3 linked regions of the Arabidopsis thaliana genome follow. The protein of the gene in region 3 interacts with the protein of the main gene of each other region in a pairwise test. Each region holds a gene or a part of one and is shown on either strand. Other genes may lie near its edges.

The links. Proteins that work in one complex are often made in the same cells at the same time.
Region 1: the proteins of WRKY21 (region 3) and IAA30 interact in binary tests that used the Arabidopsis thaliana proteins (3 or more experiments, as listed by UniProt).
Region 2: the proteins of WRKY21 (region 3) and COS1 interact in binary tests that used the Arabidopsis thaliana proteins (3 or more experiments, as listed by UniProt).

The regions. Positions count from the first base shown.
Region 1 is NC_003074.8:22,991,361-22,998,490, forward strand, and holds IAA30 (indole-3-acetic acid inducible 30), read left to right. Parts: upstream 1-4,325; 5' UTR 4,326-4,474; coding exon 4,475-4,841; intron 4,842-4,971; coding exon 4,972-5,068; coding exon of another isoform or gene 5,069-5,072; exon of another isoform or gene 5,073-5,178; coding exon 5,179-5,233; 3' UTR 5,234-5,449; downstream 5,450-7,130. Other genes in the region: AT3G62110 (Pectin lyase-like superfamily protein), read right to left, coding at 5,953-6,665, 6,745-6,815, 6,902-7,076. UniProt on the Arabidopsis thaliana protein: Aux/IAA proteins are short-lived transcriptional factors that function as repressors of early auxin response genes at low auxin concentrations.
Region 2 is NC_003071.7:18,220,160-18,227,914, forward strand, and holds COS1 (6,7-dimethyl-8-ribityllumazine synthase / DMRL synthase / lumazine synthase / riboflavin synthase), read left to right. Parts: upstream 1-4,053; 5' UTR 4,054-4,144; coding exon 4,145-4,295; intron 4,296-4,382; coding exon 4,383-4,498; intron 4,499-4,634; coding exon 4,635-4,730; intron 4,731-4,806; coding exon 4,807-4,902; intron 4,903-5,045; coding exon 5,046-5,124; intron 5,125-5,364; coding exon 5,365-5,411; intron 5,412-5,509; coding exon 5,510-5,569; intron 5,570-5,719; coding exon 5,720-5,758; 3' UTR 5,759-6,074; downstream 6,075-7,755. Other genes in the region: AT2G44030 (Galactose oxidase/kelch repeat superfamily protein), read left to right, coding at 1-1,069; AT2G44040 (Dihydrodipicolinate reductase, bacterial/plant), read right to left, coding at 1,826-1,894, 2,016-2,103, 2,205-2,314, 2,407-2,508, 2,611-2,685, 2,781-2,914, 3,115-3,352, 3,514-3,727 and 1 more; AT2G44060 (Late embryogenesis abundant protein, group 2), read left to right, coding at 6,763-7,734. UniProt on the Arabidopsis thaliana protein: Catalyzes the formation of 6,7-dimethyl-8-ribityllumazine by condensation of 5-amino-6-(D-ribitylamino)uracil with 3,4-dihydroxy-2-butanone 4-phosphate. This is the penultimate step in the biosynthesis of riboflavin.
Region 3 is NC_003071.7:13,029,151-13,037,594, forward strand, and holds WRKY21 (WRKY DNA-binding protein 21), read left to right. Parts: upstream 1-4,267; 5' UTR 4,268-4,740; coding exon 4,741-5,612; intron 5,613-5,692; coding exon 5,693-5,818; intron 5,819-6,008; coding exon 6,009-6,153; 3' UTR 6,154-6,647; downstream 6,648-8,444. Other genes in the region: DRIP2 (DREB2A-interacting protein 2), read left to right, coding at 1-240, 346-396, 689-761, 1,034-1,213; AT2G30600 (BTB/POZ domain-containing protein), read left to right, coding at 8,260-8,444.

The DNA of each region.
Region 1 (7,130 bases), on a different chromosome or scaffold from region 3:
CCACGTGATTCAATGTACCTTTGTGTTTTTTTTTTTGGGGGTACCCGTATGCAGTGTATTAGACACTTGTCCTCACTACTCTTCCATAACAAATGACTCACTCATGCATCCTTTTATTTTATTTTATTTTTCTATTCTATAATATTTGGTGTCCGACCAATAATATAACTTAGCCGGTTACACCAAATGATTCAGAAAAATAGTTTTCAATGTTTTGATATTTACAAGTAGGGATCTCTAGCTATTATACTATTTCAGGGTAACATTGTCGTTTGAAATATTAAACCAAGTAAAATAACATTGCACAGTAAAACATTTTGATCTAACATATTACATATACAAATACAAATTTATTGGGCCAAGAGGTTATAAGGCTTTAACCTTGTCATCACGAAAAAAGGAAAGAGATAGAGCCTAAAACTATGCATCGGCACAAGGGCAAATCAAATGTCATTTGGAAGGGAAATGACGTCATATAGAATCTTAAAAGAGAACATAATGTCACACACCCACACGTATCATTATCATGTTTTAAGATTCGGTAATTATTATTATTAAAGACAAAAAAAAAACAAATCAATCACGGGGTTAGCGCGTAATCTAACCCAAATTATTGAAATAAAATATAGTATCAATAGGTCTATTCTAAAAGGCACGAACGAAACCTCAAATAGTAGTAACACGCACGTATCTTGCTTTATCGAGTTTTCATGCATTCATATTCATTAATGTATTAAGCTTCAGCAAACTTACATTTATATATTAAATACATGAAAAGAACATCACTAATACCTCACAAGATTGCCCTCCTAGTCCTAGACTACTTTAGACTTTAGAGACCATATCTAAATCTTCCTCTATTTTGTAAACTTTGGATTTGATTCAAGAAAACATGTTTTCACTCCGTTTTAAGGGGCAATCGATACTATACATAACCTTTTTTTTGCAGCTAGTCACTGTAGACACAACTTTTCTAAATAGAGTCATAGATGAAAATCCAATAAGTATTCTTTCTAAAACTTAATTACACATTATTGGGACTTTTAAAGTTTATGGACCTCAACATTATAATTTTTGATTAAATGACTTAAATTAAAGTAGACATAAAACTAACAAATATCAACTATATTTCGAAGTTAGTGATACTTTTCCCATAAATAGTATACACTGACTTTTTTCGTAAAACATGTTAAATATATACATTCAATCATATATATATTTATCATACTAACAGAAGAAATCTACATTATTGTAAAGGACTGGGAGAAATAATTTTCTAAGAACAAGAGCAACACATATTTCTTTATGATGAAATGAAATCACTCGTAAAGAAACGGGAGTAGCTTTGAAGTCATTTATCACTTGTACGTCAAACAGAAGATTAGAAGGTGAATCACTGCATTTTATGGTTTGGTTTATGATAAAGACGGTTTTTTAATTTTTAAACCGCTATGTTTTTTGTTGGTTGGTTTCGAAGCCAAAAATATATCAGAGTGGTGGTCAAAAACCTCTAATTTTGAAGATATAATAATTGGTTTATGTCAAAAAGAGATATAATAATTGGTCTTGCATGTTGGTATGGTCAACTTTGTGACTAAAAAAAAGAAAGAGCCTAAAACGAGAAAATGGAATGAGTTGGCCAACAAGAGAGGCTACAAAAGAGTCACGAGACATGCAATCATCCGGATTTGAAGCCAGCCCATGTTTTTACTGACAAGCAAACACATTGCAGTAAAGTCGAGTTATCATAATTTATGATAAACATAAAGTAAATTATGAGTAGTATTTTTTTTCTTTCAAAAAGAAGCAAAACTCTCTTACAACTTAATGATTTGTAAAAGGACGAGACATTATCATTAAATCTTGAAACTAAAAAACTATGAGTGCCTTGAAAATCTGAGAATCACTGTTTTTCTTTTGAATTTCATTTCTATGTACATATGGTGAAATCTCAATTCTCCAATTTTCTTTTAGTATTGTTTTTATACTTTCACAAATAGGATTTAATTTACTTAGAATTGACTCTATTTTTTTCTTGTTTTTACTATCTATGTTCGCTTTCCAGAATTTTATACGTTATTCAAAGAAAATACTTGACCAAATACATGTAATAACATATTGGTTATCTAGAAACAAAAGACGAGTACAAGATACAAAAAAAAAAAACAAAGGGGACAAAGAATGGTGTGGAGAAAAAAGTTTGAAGAAGAAAGAAAAAAAAGTGAGGAAATTGTGATGATAATGGTAGGGGTGGTGGGGAACATATCTCTTCTTTATCAGTTTCCCTTTTTTTTTTTCTCTCTCAAAAATCATGTTTGGAGTTTCTTTTGGTTCAAGCTAAATCTTTTTCTCTTCTTCTTTCTAATAGTATCTATTTGTTTCTTCAAACCAAACGATATCTACGCAATACATGTCGGTTATTGTGATAACGACATTGTTTGGATGTTTCGGGTTCAAAAGATTTGTATGAATGTGTATACTATATATGTTTTTGGCTCAATGATAAAGACACTTGATAAGAGATTCAGGATCGTTTCAAATTATTTTAAAAAACTATATATAATATGAAAAACACTTTAATACTTAAGAATACTATTTGTAATCCGTAAAACTTTAAGTTCTAAAACCATTAATTAAAAATAAGAAACAAGTTACGTTGTACATATAAACTAAAAGACGGAATGGAATATGATTTGATTGTAAAAATAACTTTGGACAAAATCTTCCAATTATAAAAGAGAGAACAAAGAGTTCTAATCATATTGATTGGTAGGTCATGAAGAAGCTTAAGGAGTGATTGTAGAAGAGTGGAAGTGGAGGCGACAAAGTGAGGAGACACGTGGAAAAAGGCACGTGACGTGGGGAACGTGAAATGTTGTCGATAGTGTTTACTGTCTCGTGCTTGCAAAACTATATGTATGTTTTGGAGTGTGAGAATTGTGACGTATCCTCAGTCCTTAGTCCATAGGCGAAGCATCTCTCATTAGCTCCTCTCTTTAAGGTTACGCATTCATTACTCATGCTTCCCTTCTCTCATTTTCTTTCTTTTTCTATATTCCCCTCTATTTGTTTCTTCGCTTCTAATTTATTACATGTAACGTACAAAACCAAGAAGCATGCACTTTTTTCTGGTGACCAAAGTTTAATATATCAACCGAATTGACTATACCACATACATGTTTCTATCTAAATCCAATGAATATTACACAAATAGAATCTTGGTGTGCCAACCAAAGAGAAGCATTTATTAAAGTCACTATTTTGAATACTAACGACGGATAAGACTAAGATCACCAATATGATGTGTTTTGGTCTCTGCCATGAAAAGATACAGAAATTCTGATTAAGATTTGTGGGAGATTAGCACCACTTGATTCACTTTGATTGCTACACATAAAAGGTTGGTAAATTGGTTTAGTATTGGAAAAATATAGTAGTGGTTGGACTTGACTATAGATGCTTCATGATAAGATAAATTAAAAGGAACAATCAAATTAGTAGAGGAGTGTAATTACTAACAGCGACGTGGATTAAAATCATGGAAAGCTCAAACTCTTGTCATGCTTAGATACAATGGAGTCCACGTAGACTATTTTCAATATTTTTTGTCATAATTAAAGAACATTATTAGAGAGTTAATGACGTACATGAGACGTGTTTAGCAGTTGATATTCAATTTAAAAAACATTTTGACATACTTTAATGCTAAAACAAAAACATTTTTTTTGCTTAAAGTGTCTCGCGGTTATAAAAAAAACCTTAATTATGGAAGTGTTGTTTGTCGAACCCACGAATGCATCAATGCGCGTCACGATAGTCTCATGCATTGAACTTGATTTTACTAAGACGGATAATGAAGTAAACTATGTATTGTACATTGGTCTACATTTATTTAAGAAAACATGTTCTTATCCGGTTTAGAACTATCTTGTCTACGTTCATATGATTCCTTAAATCTAAGCCTAAACTTTTTAAACTAAATCAGTCACAGTTTCTTATTCATTTATAGTGTTTTAACAAAATAATTCAGTTAATTCTAAAATCCAACCCTAATTATTTTATAAGAAATCAAACAATCTTTTTTCTTTTTTTTTTTGTTAAACGAAAGGTAGTACTAGGAGTCGAGTATATTTACATTGAAACAAACAAAATTTAATTAGAACACACCCAGCAAAAAAATCCGAGCACAAAGTCAAAACCAACACTTTGACCAAGTGTCTGCATGACACGTGTATTTGTCTGCTACATGGACAACATCTTTAACAACACTGTCTCATCATTCCACCATTTTCTTTAATTAAAAAAAAAACATATCAGAAAGACCATTCCAATATTATTACTTCTTCCTTTTAAGCTCTAACAATTAAATAAAAATTTCCATTCTCTATATATAATACACACACGTTCAAATCATTAATCACCTGTTTTAGATAAAATCATAGAGAGAGAGAAATAGTAAAAGAAATAAAAAAAAATGGGAAGAGGGAGAAGCTCATCGTCTTCATCGATAGAGAGCAGCTGCAAAAGCAACCCATTTGGTGTGTCTTCGAGTAATACTCGGAACCTAAGCACGGACCTGAGACTCGGGCTCAGCTTCGGATCATCTTCCGGACAATATTACAACGGTGGAGATAACCATGAATATGATGGAGTCGGTGCGGCAGAGGAAATGATGATCATGGAAGAAGAAGAGCAAAACGAGTGTAATAGTGTCGGAAGCTTCTACGTGAAAGTGAACATGGAAGGAGTTCCTATTGGGAGAAAGATCGATCTTTTATCTCTTAATGGATATCATGATTTGATCACAACTCTCGACTACATGTTCAATGCTTCAATCCTTTGTAAGTATCTACACACACTTAATTACATCTTTGCATGTAGACTTAGTTAATATTTATATTTGTTATACCTCTCTTTGCATGTATATAGTTAAGACCAAAACTAATGGCAATAAAAAAATTGTGAAAATAGGGGCTGAAGAAGAAGATATGTGTAGTGAGAAGAGTCACGTGCTAACGTACGCAGACAAAGAAGGTGACTGGATGATGGTTGGAGATGTTCCTTGGGAGTAAGTTCTTTTTTAATTTTAGTGTATTAAAAATCTCTAGTTAAGTATTTTTTTTGACATAATTATGTAAAAATTCCCTTTAATTAATGGGGACTTAATTGATTATGTAGGATGTTCTTGTCTAGCGTGAGAAGACTAAAGATCTCAAGAGCTTATCACTACTGATTTTCTAAAAGCAAACTTGGAAGAATCTAGGATTGACCAATACAGTCAGTGGTGGTGGGGGAAAAAGTTAGTTTTGTCTGAATGTAAATCACTTGTTCGAGATTTTATTCAAATTTTGTTTCTAGTTTTATTACATTTATAAAAAAATCGGTTGTAACTTGTAATGAAGCTATTTTTTTCAAGAAAAAAAGCTGTAGCTAATGCAGATCCTTTTTGGTTTAGTAGTTATTTTTATGGTTTTAGACATAGATTAGATAATACTAGAAATATGAATTGTTTTGGAACACTGCTGAATTAGGTTCATATTCGTATTCTAGTTTTCACAAAGTTTCAGTTGAGTTACTAGTTTAACCAAATCAAGATCTATTTCATATTTTCATACTATCATTTACTTCTCAATTCAACTATTTTACCGGAATAAACAGTGAAATATAGTTGTTCTAGTTATGGAATCTGAAATTGAAAAATAATTGTCAAAAAATTTCAACAGACTCTGTCGGAGATATTACAATTGTTCCGCTCACCAAAAGCATTAAAGCCCATACAAGGAAAACAAAAACAAAAACTCTTAAGCCACTCTGATTATTTTCCTCACTGCACACAAATTTACACGAAAACAACAAAAGATGAAAGAAAGCATCATTTTTCAAAATCGAAGAGGTTTCTTCAGAATCAAGCAAACTGTGTTTCCCCTTTGATGTTCAAAACTTCACAGTAACTTACCAAGAAAGTAACCATGGTGATCTACTTAAACCACTTGATATCTCCATATTATTTTCCGATAACCCGAAACAATCAGATCCATGTTCCGGGAATATACTCTCTTTCAAAGAATCACAAGTAATTTCCGGCGAAACCCACTGTGAATAACCTCTCACATTCGAGCATTCCCATGGTGATTTCTTCGAATTCTTCTTCACTCTAAGAGTAACATTAAGGAAACATATATTCTTAAACACATCTCCTTCTATACCTTCAAGAAGACCCGCAACACCTATTCCATCGCCATTTACATTCTCAAAGGTGATTTTCTCTATAGCTGGGAGTGCTTTGGGATCGTATTTCTCATCAGGATGTTCACCGTACTTACCGGTGAACCTAATCGCTTTCTTTACATTATCGAGCTTCACGTTCAAGATGTGAACGTTTCTAACATACCCGCCTCTTCCAGCAGAAGTCTTGATTCTGATTCCAGTATTCGAATTGAACAAATGTAAGTCTTTAATGTATATTTCGGATACACCTCCCGACATTTCACTTCCTATTGCTATTCCTGAGCTTGAAGTAGTTTGACCTGTTAACCGATTAATCTTGATCTTGGAGCTCGGTCTTGCGTAGGATATTCCATACTCATCCCATCCGCTTTTTATCGATACCAAATCATCCCCGGTAACTATGTAACAATCCTCTATGCAAACATTAGTTGATGAATCTGCAAACAGAACAATTTCCAAAGATAATAATAAGGTACATATCTTGAATCTACGAGTAAAATTTGCAAGGAAACTCACCTGGATCAACTCCATCTGTATTTGGAGATTCAAGAGGAGCCAAAATTGTGAGATTCTTTACAACAACATCTCTGTTCAGACAAAAACTCCATATCAGAACATTGAAGAGAGAAATTTGGTGGATATCAAAATCAAATCATGATTAAGTTATTATGACCTGCAATAAACAGGATGAATGTTCCAAAACGGTGAATTCAAGAATGTGAGGTTGGAGATGATCAGACCAGTAGAGTTCATGAGCTCAACAAGATGAGGTCTTGTATAGTTAAGCTCTCCATTTCTAAACCAATCCCACCATACAGTTCCTTGACCATCAATTGTCCCGTTCTCGCCTAAAATGTTGATATCATCAGACAGCATATCTAAAACTAGCATCATCAGTTCAA
Region 2 (7,755 bases), 5.2 Mb from region 3:
CGTTGTTTTCAACTGTTTGTCTCGTGTCTCGAGAACCCACGATCCAATTCTCTCTCTCGTATCCAAGAGTTTCAGATCACTCCTCGCTTTGCCTGATCTCGAAGCCGAACGATTCCGCATCCTAAAAAACGAGACCTGCCTCTATGTCTGCTTAAACCTGAATAACAACAACAACCCTAACCCTAGCTGGTTCATACTCTCTCAAACTCCTAAACATAAACTGATACCACTCCCTTCTCTTCCTTACCCAGATCCACATCCCAATTGCTCAACTGTTGTCTCAACTGGTTCAGAGATCTACTTGCTGGGCGGATTCGTCGCAAAGGAAAAGAGAAGCAGGAGAGCTTATGTTCTCGATTGTAAATCTCATCAATGGCGTCGACTCCCTAAAATGCGTATAGCTCGAAAAGAAGCAGCCGCTAATGTGATTGACGGTAAGATCAATGTGTACGGAGGATGCAGCAGCGAGTACCATAACAGCGTAAACTGGGGAGAGATTTACGACCCAATGACTCAAACTTGGGAGCCATTTCCGGAAGGTGCCTTGAACAAAGAGGGTGTGATTCCATGTGCTCTAATAAAGGATGGCATAGCTTTTCCTGATTGTGGCCTCCTAATTAGTGGAAAAGTTTATGACACTACAACGATGGACACGCTTGATTACAATACACCCATGGACAAGCTTGACTTGTGTCCAAATGTTTGCATGCTAAAGATCGATAACCAAGACTTCCAAGCATCGGTTTCCGATGGGAAACTCAAACTAGTTCGCTGTCGTGGCGCTATGGCGTGGCATTGGACGGTTGGGGGACTTGAAGAATTGTCTTGTAATTATCTTCTTTCGGTGGCAAGCCCTGGCGGAGGAAGGAGAGTGACAGTTTGGTGGAAGACGTATACTAAGGAATGTAAAACGGAGATTTGGTGTGCACTAATTTTGCTTGAGCGCGAGTTGGTTTGGGGAGTCATTGAATGGTCTGAGAATGTGTTTACCTTGCCTGGATCTGAATCCGATTCAGATTCCAATTCCTTCCTTTTGCATTATGAATTAGTGACACTTGCTCGACACTGAATATATACTTTCACAAGTCTTGCTAATTATATGGATATATACTACCAACAAGACCAGCAGCTTCTTTCCTTAATGCTTATTGCAGACATTGATGGAGCTTACTTTCCCTCATTTGTTTCTCATGGCCTATGGAACATAAAACCGTTCTTTGGTGTCTCATGAGAAGCCCATTTAAAGCCCAAATAAGCTGTCACTGTTACACATTTAAAAGACTCCCCGGAGTTCTTCTTAGTTGCCTGCCCTAAAATGCATACCGCCAAGAACAGTCGAAGTGACTCATTTGTTCAATGAGAATAACAATAAAAGCCAAAAATCTTAACAACACCAGATTGAATAAACTTTGTCGATTAAGATTATATACAAGATGATTTCAATCTCTGCGGATTGAGTGGTCAAGTTCCTTACTATGATTATGCACTTGATCTCATTTTAGATGTTGAATCATCAAATGGTAAGTGAAGGGTCCATTTGATGAATTTAGGTTTTACTTTGTCTGAGAATTGTTGTGGAGAAGTTTGATCAATAAGACTTCACTTCAATGATCCAGAAAGGAGAATAACATTGAGGTAAAGAGGTCAAAACATGAACAATACAATGGCAAGTTCTTGTATATACCAAGGAATTTCAAAAGCCTGTGCTCAAGGCAGAAGAAGTGGGAAACCAAACATCTAATTTTCACAGCTGATGATTTGGTAAATCTAATCTCAGCTCTTCTACAACCACCATTTGGTCAATGCACTGGCAAAACTCGAAAGCTCAACGCATATTTCCCTCTCTCAAGACATCGATCATGTTGTAGATTCGCTGATCTGCTTTCAATCGAATCTGCATTTCACAAAAGTGTTGAATCAACAATTAGCATTATAGAGAAGAGCGGTGAGACTCAGAGAAAGCTGAGATTCAATTTCGCAGAATCATGATGAGCAATAAGAGCAAGCTTTAGAACCTTTTTGGCGAGGAAGAGCACGGCATCAACAGTACCCTCAGCATAAATTGATCGGCCGCAGACATTGTGCTGGAACTCGAAGGAGACACTGCAAAGAAAGACAAAGAAAAGGGAGCTAGTTATGGAACAGAGACACTTTTACAATGGAAACAAAGAAAAGTATAAACAATATCTTAGATATTGCATTACGTTTCATCGGGTGATGTCAAGTGATAAAGATGGAAAGCGTGACCAGAGATATGCTCCTCAGGTACACCCACCATCTCCACTTGCTGTTTTGGATCCCGAATCAATTGTATCTGCCACAAAAGTTGTATACACAGAAAATTCACATTCCGAGGATAAATTAAGTGATTGCCAAGATGTAAACAATAAAGGATGACCAATGCACCTGATCCATGTCGTAAGACACACCCAATTCCTGGAAGCAAGAAATAACAGCTTTTGCTGTTCCGGATGCATCCAATTTGCTAGCTTGATGAGACTCCATCACCTACATATAGATTGGCAGTTGATTAGATGTAGCAAGAAGTAATATAAAACTAACAGAGAAAGAAAAAAGAATTTGAATGTATAAAAGAAGTAAGAAAAGTACATCCAAGGAATAACCAGAAAAGGCTCCCGGAAACTGCTCAGCCATGATCTCCATGGCCGCAAGAAATGCTACAACCTATAGACCAACAAAGCACACAAATATGAGCAAAAATGATCTTAACTTACATGCATAAGTAATCATTTCTTCCAGAAACATTCAAGTACACATACCTGTTTACCCATCTGTGGAGAAATCACAGCATAAATCTTTGCTTCCTCAACAGTTTCATACAATTTGTTCCTATCTCCACCAGTTGTTCCCATGACGAAAGGAACACCTACTTTGCTATACAGCTCCGCATTATCTACATTTTGCGAGAATACCAAACTTGAAATCAACAAACAATAGACAAAAAAAACACTTCTAGCAGATGATTTTCACTTGCACAAATTCTAAACTAACTCAATCAAGGATCGTTCCGCCAACCAGAATTCAACCATAACTTCAACAAATCTAGAATACAATTGTCTTTTGATGGTAGAAATGAGAGATTCTGAAGTTTACCATTTACTGCAGAGGGAATTGTGTAGTCGACAACAATTAGCTCCGGGTGCTTCTCAAACACCGAAGAAAGAACCTTTTCTCTTTCAGTTGGACCGTGCACAGTAATCTCCTTTCCACAGACCTCAACTCTCTGACCATCCTCACCAGCAGATCCAAACGATATGGGAACAATATTTACTCCTGCAGAGTCTGCTGCTTTAATTACAGCTTTCCCCATTTTGCCACTACATCCATTCACCTGTAGAATAAGAGATAATGAATATAGCTAAATCCAACATAAAAATCCCCATTTCAAAAGGAACAAGCTTTGACATTTCTACATTTCAAACTTAAATGGTAATGCAAAGTCAAATCTCACAACTTTGAGTCTAAGAGAAATCATCAGATGATCAGGTTTACCATGATGGATATGCCATTTCCAGGCAAAACAGATTTCACGGCCTCCTCACCGGAATCCGCCATCGCCGTCATGGATAAAACCACCGGAAGACGACGTGTCCCAATGCCCATGAAACTAACACGGCCTTTACCGTATTTTCCTACAGTCTGATTCGTTCTAGAAGCAAATGCGATACGCGGGCGATGAAGAAACACACTGGACGACGCCATTAACCTGTGATCAAATCGTTTAAATTCAATAGAATCCTCTTAAAGAGTTTAAAGCTCATCTCCGTCAATCAAAACGTGAAATTCGTAGGTTTCGAAACGTACCCATTCGTAGCCATAAAGGAATTTACTCTCCAGGATACGGAAGTTTTGTTCTTTGTTACGACGGAGTCAAAAGTTTAAATCTTTCACTTTTGTCTGAAAATTTCCGGCCGGTGAGAGTGATTGGGGATGTAGGGTTTAGCTTATCCCTTTTCATCAAACCGGAAATCTCTAACCAAACTAATAGATTCAATGAAACCGTAATTTTAATGAAAATAATAAACCGGAAGCCTTGAACCGATTTGATAAGCTAATGGACCTCACAGTCTCACTCTTAACCTGAAGAACGAAGAACCGTCTCTAAAACTCCGACGAACGAAAAATGAAGTCATTAGCTTCGCCGCCGTGTCTCCGCCTGATACCGACGGCACACCGTCAGCTCAATTCGCGTCAATCTTCCTCCGCCTGTTATATACACGGTGGCTCTTCTGTGAACAAATCCAATAATCTCTCATTCTCCTCATCCACATCCGGTAAGCTTGCTTTCTCTCACTTCTCTTATAATAACTCAAATCGTTTTTTCGCAATTTCGTGATTGAGATGTTAACATTTGGTGTTAGGATTTGCGTCACCACTAGCTGTAGAGAAGGAATTACGCTCTTCATTCGTACAGACGGCTGCTGTTCGCCATGTTACGGGGTCTCTTATCAGAGGCGAAGGTCTTAGATTCGCCATCGTGAGTTCTCAGAATCGCTTTCTTACTTTGTGCGCTGCTTAGATTTAGTGACTTGGTTCTGATTTACAGTGAAATTTGAAAACTTTGAGCTCAATTGCAGTGTTGACTTGGTTCTGATTCATTTTTCTTTCTCAAGGTGGTAGCTCGTTTCAATGAGGTTGTGACTAAGTTGCTTTTGGAAGGAGCGATTGAGACTTTCAAGAAGTATTCAGTCAGAGAAGAAGACATTGAAGTAAAAGTCTTTTGCTTGTAGAACAGAATAAAAAGTTATGAGCTTTCACAAAGCTAATGACACTGTTTTTATTCAGGTTATTTGGGTTCCTGGCAGCTTTGAAATTGGTGTTGTTGCACAAAATCTTGGGAAATCGGGAAAATTTCATGCTGTTTTATGTATCGGCGCTGTGGTATGATTCTTGTTTTGAAAGAATCTCAGGCTATTCCATTTGTTTTTCTCCTCATATGGCTTCAGAAAGTAGTTGCTTTATGTTGATAACATATACTTAAAGAGTTGGATTTTGATATTACTGTTGTCCTTGTTGTGGTTTAGATAAGAGGAGATACCACACATTATGATGCTGTTGCCAACTCTGCTGCGTCTGGAGTACTTTCTGCTAGCATAAATTCAGGTTTACCTCGATACTTATTTGCTGGATATACATCTTTAGACATTTTTATTTGACATTGTTTTGGAAACACTGAAAGATTGATTTTGTATACTTCCGAACCTAAAAGAGCGGGTAGTTCATTTTTGCTTTTCTTTGGATTTTGGATGTTTAAATTCCCTCATCATGAATTACTTCTTCAAATTTTGTGTTTACGCACTATTGACTCTAGTAATTAAAGCTTATAAAAAATCCAATTTGCAGGCGTTCCATGCATATTTGGTGTACTGACTTGCGAGGACATGGATCAGGTTTAAGTTGTGTTATGCAAGAGTTGATGATATATAGCTTATTCATCATAATGGATGAACACTGAATTTGTTAATATTGTGGTTAACTGAAACTCTAGGCTCTGAATCGATCTGGTGGCAAAGCCGGCAATAAGGGAGCTGAAACTGCTTTGACGGCGGTAAGTATCATTATGATTCAATCCTTTATTGTTAGAATAAGATGTAGAAATTCCTGATCATTCCATTGAGCAACTGGTCATGTTATAACCATTCGGGTTCTTATGTCTTTTTGGTAAAGTCTTTGAATATTTCTTCCTCTTGTTTTTCAGCTCGAAATGGCGTCGTTGTTTGAGCACCACCTGAAATAGCTCGGCTCGTTCGATGGATGAACATGATCACGTATGAGAACCTCTTGATGTTGTCCCATTTGGTTACAATCCAGTCTCTGAAATTGTTTGTACCTCAAAGATTGTCAAAATGTTTTACCCTTGGTTACAAAATCATTTAAACGCTTTTGTAAGCTTCTGGCCTTGTTTTTTTTTTTTGAATCGTATGATAATAATAATTCCTCCGAATTTTGGGGGTCTTTCTGTACTAATCAAAAATGTGATCTTCTTTGTTGTAATATCTTGAAATTGAGGTGTCGAAATGGATGTCAATTTTAAAAGCCAATAAGGATCTTACACGACGAAAATTTTGTCGGCGAGCGAAGATTACGCGTCACATTGATAATAGTTAATATAAAGTTCAACGGATCAACCAATTCCACAATCTATAATCATTTTGTGACTCTTGGAGCACTCTCTTCTCTTTGTCTCTGTGACTCACATTCATCCAATCCAGGTAAAAATCAAATCCACTAAGTTTTATTTCTCTTCATTGTTGTTCTTGCGTTGATCCTTCATGATTTGATCGGAATACATGGAAAAAGGTGGTGTAATTAGATCGAGCTTTTTGTTTCTCCGATCTGTTTGACATTTAGGTTGATCTAGTGCTATCATGTGTAGATCGAACATTCGGATCTGTATTTCCCACGAATCCTCTTGATTCACGTGATATGATCATTGTCTCTTAGTACAGAGATGCATTGTATGTTCTTTGGTTTGGGATATTCCACTAGGATCCTAGTTGATGATATCTAATGTGATGCGAGTTCTCTATGGTCTTTGGTGAGAAACTTTGTTTTGGTGATTATAGCCTCTTACAACTACTAAAAACTGTGATTACACTTTGTTTGACTTTTACAACCATTGTCCTGCTGTGATTGATGAATCTACTCTCGGCGTTGAATGCTTGAAGTTTTGTCTATTCTTTGATACTCTAAGCTTTTGTTTCTGTGGCACTAATTGACTTTTCTTGCTGCTTAGGAGGCATGTCGACATCTGAGGATAAACCGGAAATCATCAGTAGAGTAGTTCATCAGGAGGGTGACGTGGAAATCGTCGATAGAAGTCAGAAGGATAAGGACGAGGAAAAAGAAGAAGGGAAAGGTGGATTCCTCGATAAGGTGAAAGATTTCATTCATGACATTGGTGAGAAACTCGAGGGAACCATTGGCTTTGGGAAGCCAACTGCTGATGTCTCTGCGATTCATATCCCTAAGATCAATCTTGAGAGGGCAGATATTGTTGTGGATGTGCTTGTCAAGAACCCGAATCCAGTTCCTATCCCTCTCATCGATGTCAACTACCTGGTCGAGAGCGATGGGAGGAAACTGGTTTCTGGTTTGATCCCGGATGCTGGAACACTCAAGGCTCATGGAGAAGAAACTGTGAAGATACCATTGACGTTGATCTATGATGACATCAAGAGCACTTACAACGATATCAACCCCGGGATGATCATACCTTACAGAATCAAGGTTGATCTGATTGTGGATGTGCCAGTATTGGGAAGACTGACATTGCCGCTGGAGAAATGTGGAGAGATCCCAATTCCAAAGAAACCTGATGTTGATATCGAGAAGATTAAGTTCCAGAAGTTCTCTTTGGAGGAAACCGTGGCGATTCTCCATGTGAGGCTTCAGAACATGAATGATTTCGACTTGGGGCTCAATGACTTGGACTGTGAAGTTTGGCTGTGTGATGTAAGCATTGGGAAAGCAGAGATCGCGGACTCGATCAAGCTTGACAAAAACGGAAGCGGATTGATTAATGTGCCGATGACATTCCGACCAAAGGACTTTGGTTCTGCGCTTTGGGATATGATTCGTGGTAAAGGAACAGGGTACACAATCAAAGGTAATATTGATGTTGATACACCATTTGGAGCTATGAAGCTTCCTATTATCAAGGAAGGTGGAGAGACCCGTCTGAAGAAGGAAGATGATGATGACGACGATGAGGTTATTTACCTATATATTCTT
Region 3 (8,444 bases):
GGGGAGTAAAACCAAAACAAAGGATCATAAAAGAAAGTGTAAACTCGAGGAAGAGATCAGCAATAACGGTGATCCTACAACATCAGAAACTGCTACACTTAAACGAACGCGTCGGACTCGTCGCAAAAGGTCATCTACTTTTGGTGATTCTAGAATTCCACTGTTACCAGGTGCAGCAAGCCTAAAACAGGAGAGGAGAAACGGTCATGTTTGGTTCTCACTTGTAGCGTCAAGTAATCAGTGAGATTCCTGTTCTGTATCTGAGACTCTGAGTACTTCTGATATTCAATATTTTCTGTGTCTTTTCATTTCTATCTCTTAGTGACACGGCTTTACTGGTTTCAGGGAAGGAGAAGCATCATTGCCTCAGATTCCAGCAAACTACTTGAGAATAAGGTAAGTTGTTCTTTTTGCTTTGCTCTGTTTCTTGTCACTAAGTTTTTATATGTCAACTGTGAAGTCTGTGATCAAATATTACTTATTATTGCATTGATGGCTTTGAATTCGATTTCGCAGTTGTTTTACCCGAGTTTCCATGTCATGTTTGTTTTCTGTGGTATACGTTTCTTGATAAAGCCTTCTTCTTTTTTGGCCCATCACACCTAATCCTTGACTGGGAGGTGTCTATTTTCTTGTTTGGGAGAATTATATTGTGCCAGAGTTGATCCCCTGTCTCATTATATGGTAGGGATGGAAATATTCCAGTTTCTTTTATCCAAAAGTACCTCATGAGGAAGCTTGATCTCAAGAGTGAAGATGAGGTAAGCAATCTTATCTTATGCAGTGGCTACTTTTCTGTTTTATATGAGGTATCCACTCGGTCTAATATGGAATCACATAGACCGTAGTTCTATACATTGGTTCAAGTCTTGTGCTTATCAATATGACTGTAAGGTCCCCATAAATGTTTAAACTAAAGTTAACTCTCCCTTTTATTTCCGACTTGTGTACCGGGTGATATCTTATGATCTGGGACTTTTTCGACCCACCGGTGTTGAACCTTAACTACTCTATGTTTTTTTTTTGTAAACAGGTAGAGATAACATGTATGGGAGAACCAGTGATCCCAACGTTGCAGCTTCACAGCTTAGTAGACCTATGGTTGGAAACAACTTCTAAGCATCAAAGAGTCGCTGCGTCAATAGGTTCATCTGCAAAGGAATTTGTAATGGTGCTAGTTTATTCTCGGAAGCTCCCTGAATGCAACAACTAAAGAGCTATTCATTGAATCTTTTCTAGACCGAGAAGAAAGAAAAGTGCAGGAGCAGTGGAATGTCTTGTGTAGAAAGAAACTTAGCAATTTATATTTATTTAATTGTAATCTTAAAATTTGAAACATTGGTGTGAGACAGACACTTTGTTTGTTTATCCAAGAAGATTCAAAAATGGCTTTTTAAAGGAGATTGTGTCCTTTTTGGATATTTGAATGTATGATTAGGATAATGTTGTCATTTCTATAAATATTTGTTTCCTTGTTTGGACTAAATGGAGAAGTACACGGAATCCTTGTGAATCGAATGACTTAGCCATTATTGAGAAGTCAAAAGAAAAATAACCAAAAAAAAACTTGTGAAGTGTACCTTTAATACAAGAATTAAAGAGAGATGTATAAAAGTTTTCTAACAATTTTGTTCACCAAAAAAAAAAGTTTTCTAACAATTTTTAATACAAAATGCAAAATTAAAGATGAATTTTCTTATTTCTTTTTTTAAAACATAATTTTGAAGAAATTTGGTTGTCTTTTTGCATTTGTTTCTAGATATTTCTAAACTGTTGGGAAATAAAAAAATTTGCACACAAAACATAGTTAAATTCACGTGGTATTTATAGAGATTTACTTCAACCAAATTTGGATTTTGGGTCATTGTTTTATGGACGGATAAACTATCCATTAGTCAAATTTCCACAAAAATAATATGTGAATTAGATTCGACAAGGCTAATTCCCCCACAACATACGATACTAGAACAAACGTACTTGACTACTTGACGTAACAATGTTTCTCTTACTGTCTTGAAAATAACATATAACTCGTTCATCACCAATTTTCTTGTACATGATTGATTAAGTGTGTAAGCATCTTTTTCGATTAATGATGATGATGTTAATTGGAGAAACAAATTTTTCATAAATTCCCTTATAGACAAAGTCTTATAATTTTGTTAAATTCCGCATATATTTTACCAAAACTTTGTCGAATGGAAAGACACGTCAAATGTGCTAATTAGAAACTGTTGTATTGAGATTTCAAGAGGAATCAATAATAAGGTACTACTAGGGTTTTATTTCAATTAGGTTTGAATCTTGGGTCATTGTGACGAATAAATTATCTACTTGTCGATTTTCTACAAAAAGCACACATGAATTAGATTCAACGTGGCCAATTCATCTAACATATGTTACTAAAACAAGCGCAATAGACGAGTTGGCGTAATTTTATTTTATACTATCTATAAAGTAACGTATGATTCGTCTATCACCAATTATCTTGTAAATGATGGTAAAATGTCTAAATTCGTTTGTCGCTTAATAATGATGATGATATACGTTACTTTAATTAAAAAAAGCGAATTTTCGATAGATACTCTATTAACTAAGCATGCACATATCACGTTGTGATTGATTTATGCCTAGTAAATAAAATTTATCTCCAGCAAGAATAATTGAAACTTCATAACTAATTTTGAATGCTAAAATGTTAAATTGATATATGGGAAACAAGTTATGATACTCAAGAAGTCACCAATATCTAGTATTGGAATCGCTGTGGTGTTTGTTTGTAGATATTTTTCTACATTTAGCAATGTATTACATTATGATTGCAAGAGGAAGCAATATTAAGGTATTAATAAGGTTTTTACTTTTACCGGGTTAGAATTTTGGGTTTGTTTATTGGATGAAGAAATTATCCACTTGTCGATCTTTCATAAAAAGCACACGTGAATTAGTTTCGACATAGTTATATAGTTCTCCTAATATACGTTATTTGAACAAGAATACTTGACTAGTTGATGTAACGATGTTTTCTTAACGTTTCAAAAGTAACGTACGATTCTTCCATAACCAAATGTCTTGTATATAATGGTAGAATATATATTTTGTTTTGTCGCCTAATGATTATGATGTGCGTTACTTTAATTTAGAAAGCGGACTATTTAAAAACTGCTATATTGAAACCGCAAGAGAAAGCAATAGTAAGGTATTAATATGGTTTTACTTCAGCCAGATTTAAACCACCAACAATACTTTAAACCATTGGTCGATCTTTCACCACAAAAACCACACGTGAATTAGATTCGGTGTGGCTAGTTCCCTAAACATACGTTACTAGAACAAGCGCACTTGACTAGTTGGCGTGACGATGTCTTTCTTACTAATTTAAAAGTAACGTATGATTCGTCCATTACCAATTGTCATATACCTAATATAAAATATAAATTCGTTTGTCGCTTAATAATGATAACATGCGTTACTTTATGTTAAAAAGCCAATTTTCGATAGATTTTCTATTAATTGTAACGTTATAATTCATTATACATAACAAAAAAAATCTTCAACAATAATATATTGAAATTTCATAACTAATGGATGCTAAAATGTTAGATTAATAGATAGAGAAAACTTATAATACTCAAAACATTTAACACCAAAATTTCCAATATCTAGTAATGGAAATGTAATGTTTGTTAGTATATAAATTTCTGCATTTAGCAACACTTATGCTTAAAAACACATCATTGATCCGTAGAATAAAAAGACACCTCAAGTGTACTAAGTAACCGTTAGAAACTGCGTAAAAAAGTTTGGTACCACTTTTTCTTTTACTTTTTTTGTTTTGTCAAGTTACTTATCAAAAACTTGGAAATTAACTTTCTCTCTTTTTTTTTAAACTCGTGAATAACAATGAAACATTCGTATATTTTTATATCATAAAAGAAAACAATACGGTATTATATGAACAAAAAAAACTTAAAGATAAAAGAGGTCAACAAAATGTCCGAAGTATGATGATGCTAAGTTTGATTAGTTATCTTTTTTATGTCAGAGAACAATTAAATTTGTTTTATTATTATACTAAAAGAAGAAAAACCTAAACTGCAAAAATAATAATTACGACCCGAGTCTTCGAGTAGGACCCACCTCTGAATCTGTGACAGACGCCGGTTTCGTTCTCTCTCTCTCCTTTTTTTCCTCTCTTTGCTTTTCCAAAAAATAAAGTTGTCTTTTTTTATTTATAATAAAATGATTTGTTGTTTCACAGTGTGTTGTTTGTTTTGGGGTAAAAAAGAAAATCATAAGGATGCTTTCAATATTTGTTTTGTTTTGGTTGAGTGATTGCTGAAGCCAACTTAAAAGAGAGAGAAGAGAAGAGTGACTCTGTGTGTGTGTGCAAGAAAGTCTTCTCTTTCACACCTTTCGTTTTCTCGAACCTCTCCTTTAAAGATGGTGGAGGAATCTTGGGTTTGACAACTCATTAACACTGACCCTCTTTTTAGCTCTACAAGCATCCAAGGAACCCCTCTTACTTTTCCCTCTTCTTCATTCCCTCTCTCTCTATATCTCCCAATTCCTTCTCTTTTTTTAACCTTGATCTTCTTCTTATAAGAGACTCAGAGCTGTTCTTCAAGATGGGATTGTGTAAGCTTGAAACTTGACTATCTGGGTCTCTCCCATTTTCTGTTCTCTTTTGTATTCTGAGTGAAAGTTTTGTTTTCTGGGGGAAAAAATTAGGGTTCTTAGATGGAGGAGATAGAAGGAACAAACAGAGCAGCTGTTGAGAGTTGTCATAGAGTTCTTAATCTTTTACATAGATCACAGCAACAAGATCATGTTGGTTTTGAAAAGAATTTAGTATCTGAAACTAGAGAAGCTGTGATTAGGTTCAAGAGAGTTGGGAGTTTGTTAAGCAGTAGTGTTGGTCATGCTAGGTTTAGAAGAGCTAAGAAACTTCAGAGTCATGTCTCTCAAAGTCTCTTACTTGATCCATGTCAACAAAGGACAACAGAAGTTCCATCATCATCTTCTCAGAAAACACCGGTACTCCGGTCTGGTTTCCAGGAATTGAGCTTGAGACAACCTTCAGATTCACTCACTTTAGGGACTCGCTCTTTTAGTTTAAACTCAAATGCTAAAGCTCCTCTCCTTCAGCTTAATCAGCAGACAATGCCTCCTTCGAATTATCCTACTTTGTTTCCAGTACAACAACAACAACAACAACAACAACAACAACAACAGCAGGAGCAGCAGCAGCAGCAGCAGCAGCAACAGCAACAGTTTCATGAACGGTTACAAGCTCACCATCTTCATCAGCAACAGCAGCTACAGAAACATCAAGCTGAGCTTATGCTTAGGAAATGCAATGGTGGGATAAGTTTGAGTTTCGATAACTCTAGTTGTACTCCAACTATGTCATCCACTAGGTCCTTTGTTTCTTCACTTAGCATAGATGGTAGTGTTGCTAATATAGAGGGAAAGAACTCCTTCCATTTTGGGGTTCCTAGTTCAACTGATCAGAATTCACTACATTCTAAGAGGAAATGCCCCTTGAAAGGAGATGAACATGGAAGCTTAAAATGCGGGAGCTCTAGCCGATGCCACTGCGCTAAGAAGAGGTCAGTTCCATATTTTTGTTTCGTTTTCATAGCCTCTCTTTACTAAGATGGTGTAGTTAATCTGATTGGGAAATTGACAGGAAACATCGGGTTAGGAGATCGATTAGAGTACCGGCTATAAGTAACAAGGTTGCAGATATCCCTCCTGATGATTATTCATGGCGAAAATATGGTCAGAAGCCCATCAAGGGCTCTCCTTATCCCAGGTATACACTTCTTGATCATATTTTGTTATGTTAAGAAGTGATAAAGATTGATGTCACATGCAAAGAACCATCCTTTTAACATTAAGGCTTTTGAGTTTTGATGAGAAAAAAGAGTCTAAAAATGGCTAAGAGATGACACAAGTAAGATGAGTCCTTTTAAGGAAGTGTTGTATTGGATTTTTGTGTGCAGAGGATATTACAAATGTAGTAGCATGAGAGGTTGTCCAGCGAGGAAGCATGTTGAGAGATGTTTGGAAGATCCGGCAATGCTTATTGTTACTTATGAAGCAGAGCATAACCACCCGAAATTGCCATCTCAAGCTATAACAACTTAACTCTCGTTTATCTTTGCGGTCCAGCATAAACCTTCTCATGTATGTTGTTCTCTTTTGTGCGCGATGATCGGCTTTGGGGTTGCTGCAATGTTGTGATATATGGATCGGGGTAAGTGCTTTTGTTGGGGTGGATTTGCTTGTGAGAGTTTGCTGCAATTGTTGGATTTTGAGCTATATATGGGGTAAATGTAGGATTGGTCAAGACTCTTTTTCTGTTTCTCAAGTTTATTGGTCTTAATGATTAAAAGTTTAATGGTTTGTTTCTGGCTATGTATCTTTTTTTTCTTCTCAAGTGGCTTTTTCTTTTATGATTGGTACTGTTAGAATTTGGAGATTGTTGCTAAGTAACTTAATCATTTAGCAAGGTAGCTTAAATCTAAGATGATTAGGGATAAAGAATATTGGATTCTGTTCTGAGTTTAGAGAATATTGGATTCTGTTCTGAGTTTAGAGAATATTGAATTCATGTATCAAGCATAATGAATGAAACTTATTTTAAGACAAAATTGAGTTTGAGATTCCATTTTAGGAATAGACAACAAGTCTACAAAGTGCTCACTTATGTACTAATATAAGAATTCACTAAGTTAGTAAACCTATCATTAATCCCGAAAATGTTAAGTAGTTTGATGAAAATCAGAAGTATGCGTAAAATAATAACAAAGAATGAGAAAATCTGACACGTTTAAGCGCATTTTTGGTAAATTTAATCTGAATATTCATCTCATTCTTTTTTAAAGAACACTTACACTAATTACATTCCCTTTTCTTCTCCATTTATCATGTATTTTATATAATATTCTCATCTAAAAGATCATTCTCATTAATAGTATAGATTATTTAAAAGTGGGTGTTGAAACCTACAAAATAAAATTAAAACACATTTCAAAACTTTAAAATGGATGTCTCTTACATATGTAACAGAAATCACATTGTCCAACTATCTACTATACTTATGTGAAAAAAACATACATATGCCCAAAATTGTTATCAAACCAAAATGTTCTGGAAATAGCCCATTGGACATCTATTTATAAAATTGCATACACTTTAGCTAAAAAAAAGTACTTCAGTTTGTTGTTAGAATATTCAAATTCAAGAATTATTTTTGAAAGAATTGTGTGCAGAATATCAAAGAAATTTTGAAATAATTCAGAATTGTGTACACAATATCAAAAAATCCATTTCGAAAATGCTTTGTACACTTGTGTTTTGGCTTGTATTTTTATTTTAAAAGTATGATATGTAAAATAAATAGGAAGTGTAGGATTATTCTTTTTCTTGTCTAATAAAAAATAAAAAATAATCATATGCATTTATGAAGATAATTAAACTTTTAAATACTTTTTAATATTTCATACATATTATCCATTTCTCATTCCAAAAAAAGAGTTTAATTCTCAGTTTCAGAATAAAATGTGGGCCTTATACAGATTTAGTTGGCCCATTAATGTACAGGTGACAATAATCCACCAACTCGTTTCTCCTGACACAAAAAATATCTCATCATGTCTTCTTCTTCGTATTCGTGTCTCTCATTTCCTTTTTTGACTCTTCTTTCCAAAAAGGATTAGATCTGACTCACTATTACGTGTCACGCACAGTTCATTAGGTACGCTCGGAAAATTTTATCCACACATCTAAATATCTGATTTATGATCAAATCACCCATTTTTATTTTTCCTTTTGTAGCTTCTCAAATCTTTTGTCTTTATTCGATTTAAAAGTTGATGTACTCTGCATCTGATTGTTTTGCTCGTGTTTTATTACCACGTTGTGGTTGAAATTTGACGGCGGAAGTTCATGGTGGGGTATGAAGCCAGTTGGATTCAGATTTTTTTGCCAAGTTGATTGCTTTCTAGCTGATTCATTGAAAATAACGTTCCTTTTTAAAAACCCATTTGTTATCATTGTCTTCTCAAAACGTATGATCTGGTTTTTCAAAAGTGAGTCTGGTTGAGTTCTATGTGTTTGTGAAAATGTCTCAATGAGTGAAATTTTGTTTCTTTTTATGTTTTTAGTGTCTTTGTCTTTGGTTATATAGATGTTGATGGCTTGTGGGTTTGGAAATATTGTAGGTGAAGGCAAGAGATTTTATGAAGAAAGATGGTTGCGGCGAAAGAGAACAAGTTTCTGACAGTGGCACCTTTTGAGTGTGCTTGGAGTGATGATCTGAAGTTCCGGGAAGCGGGAAGAGGTTGTGTTGCGTTTGATGCGTTTGCTCACAATGATGTCACGGTGGTGTTTAGAGAGAATGTGGGGACTCAACATTACCATTATAAGAAAGATAA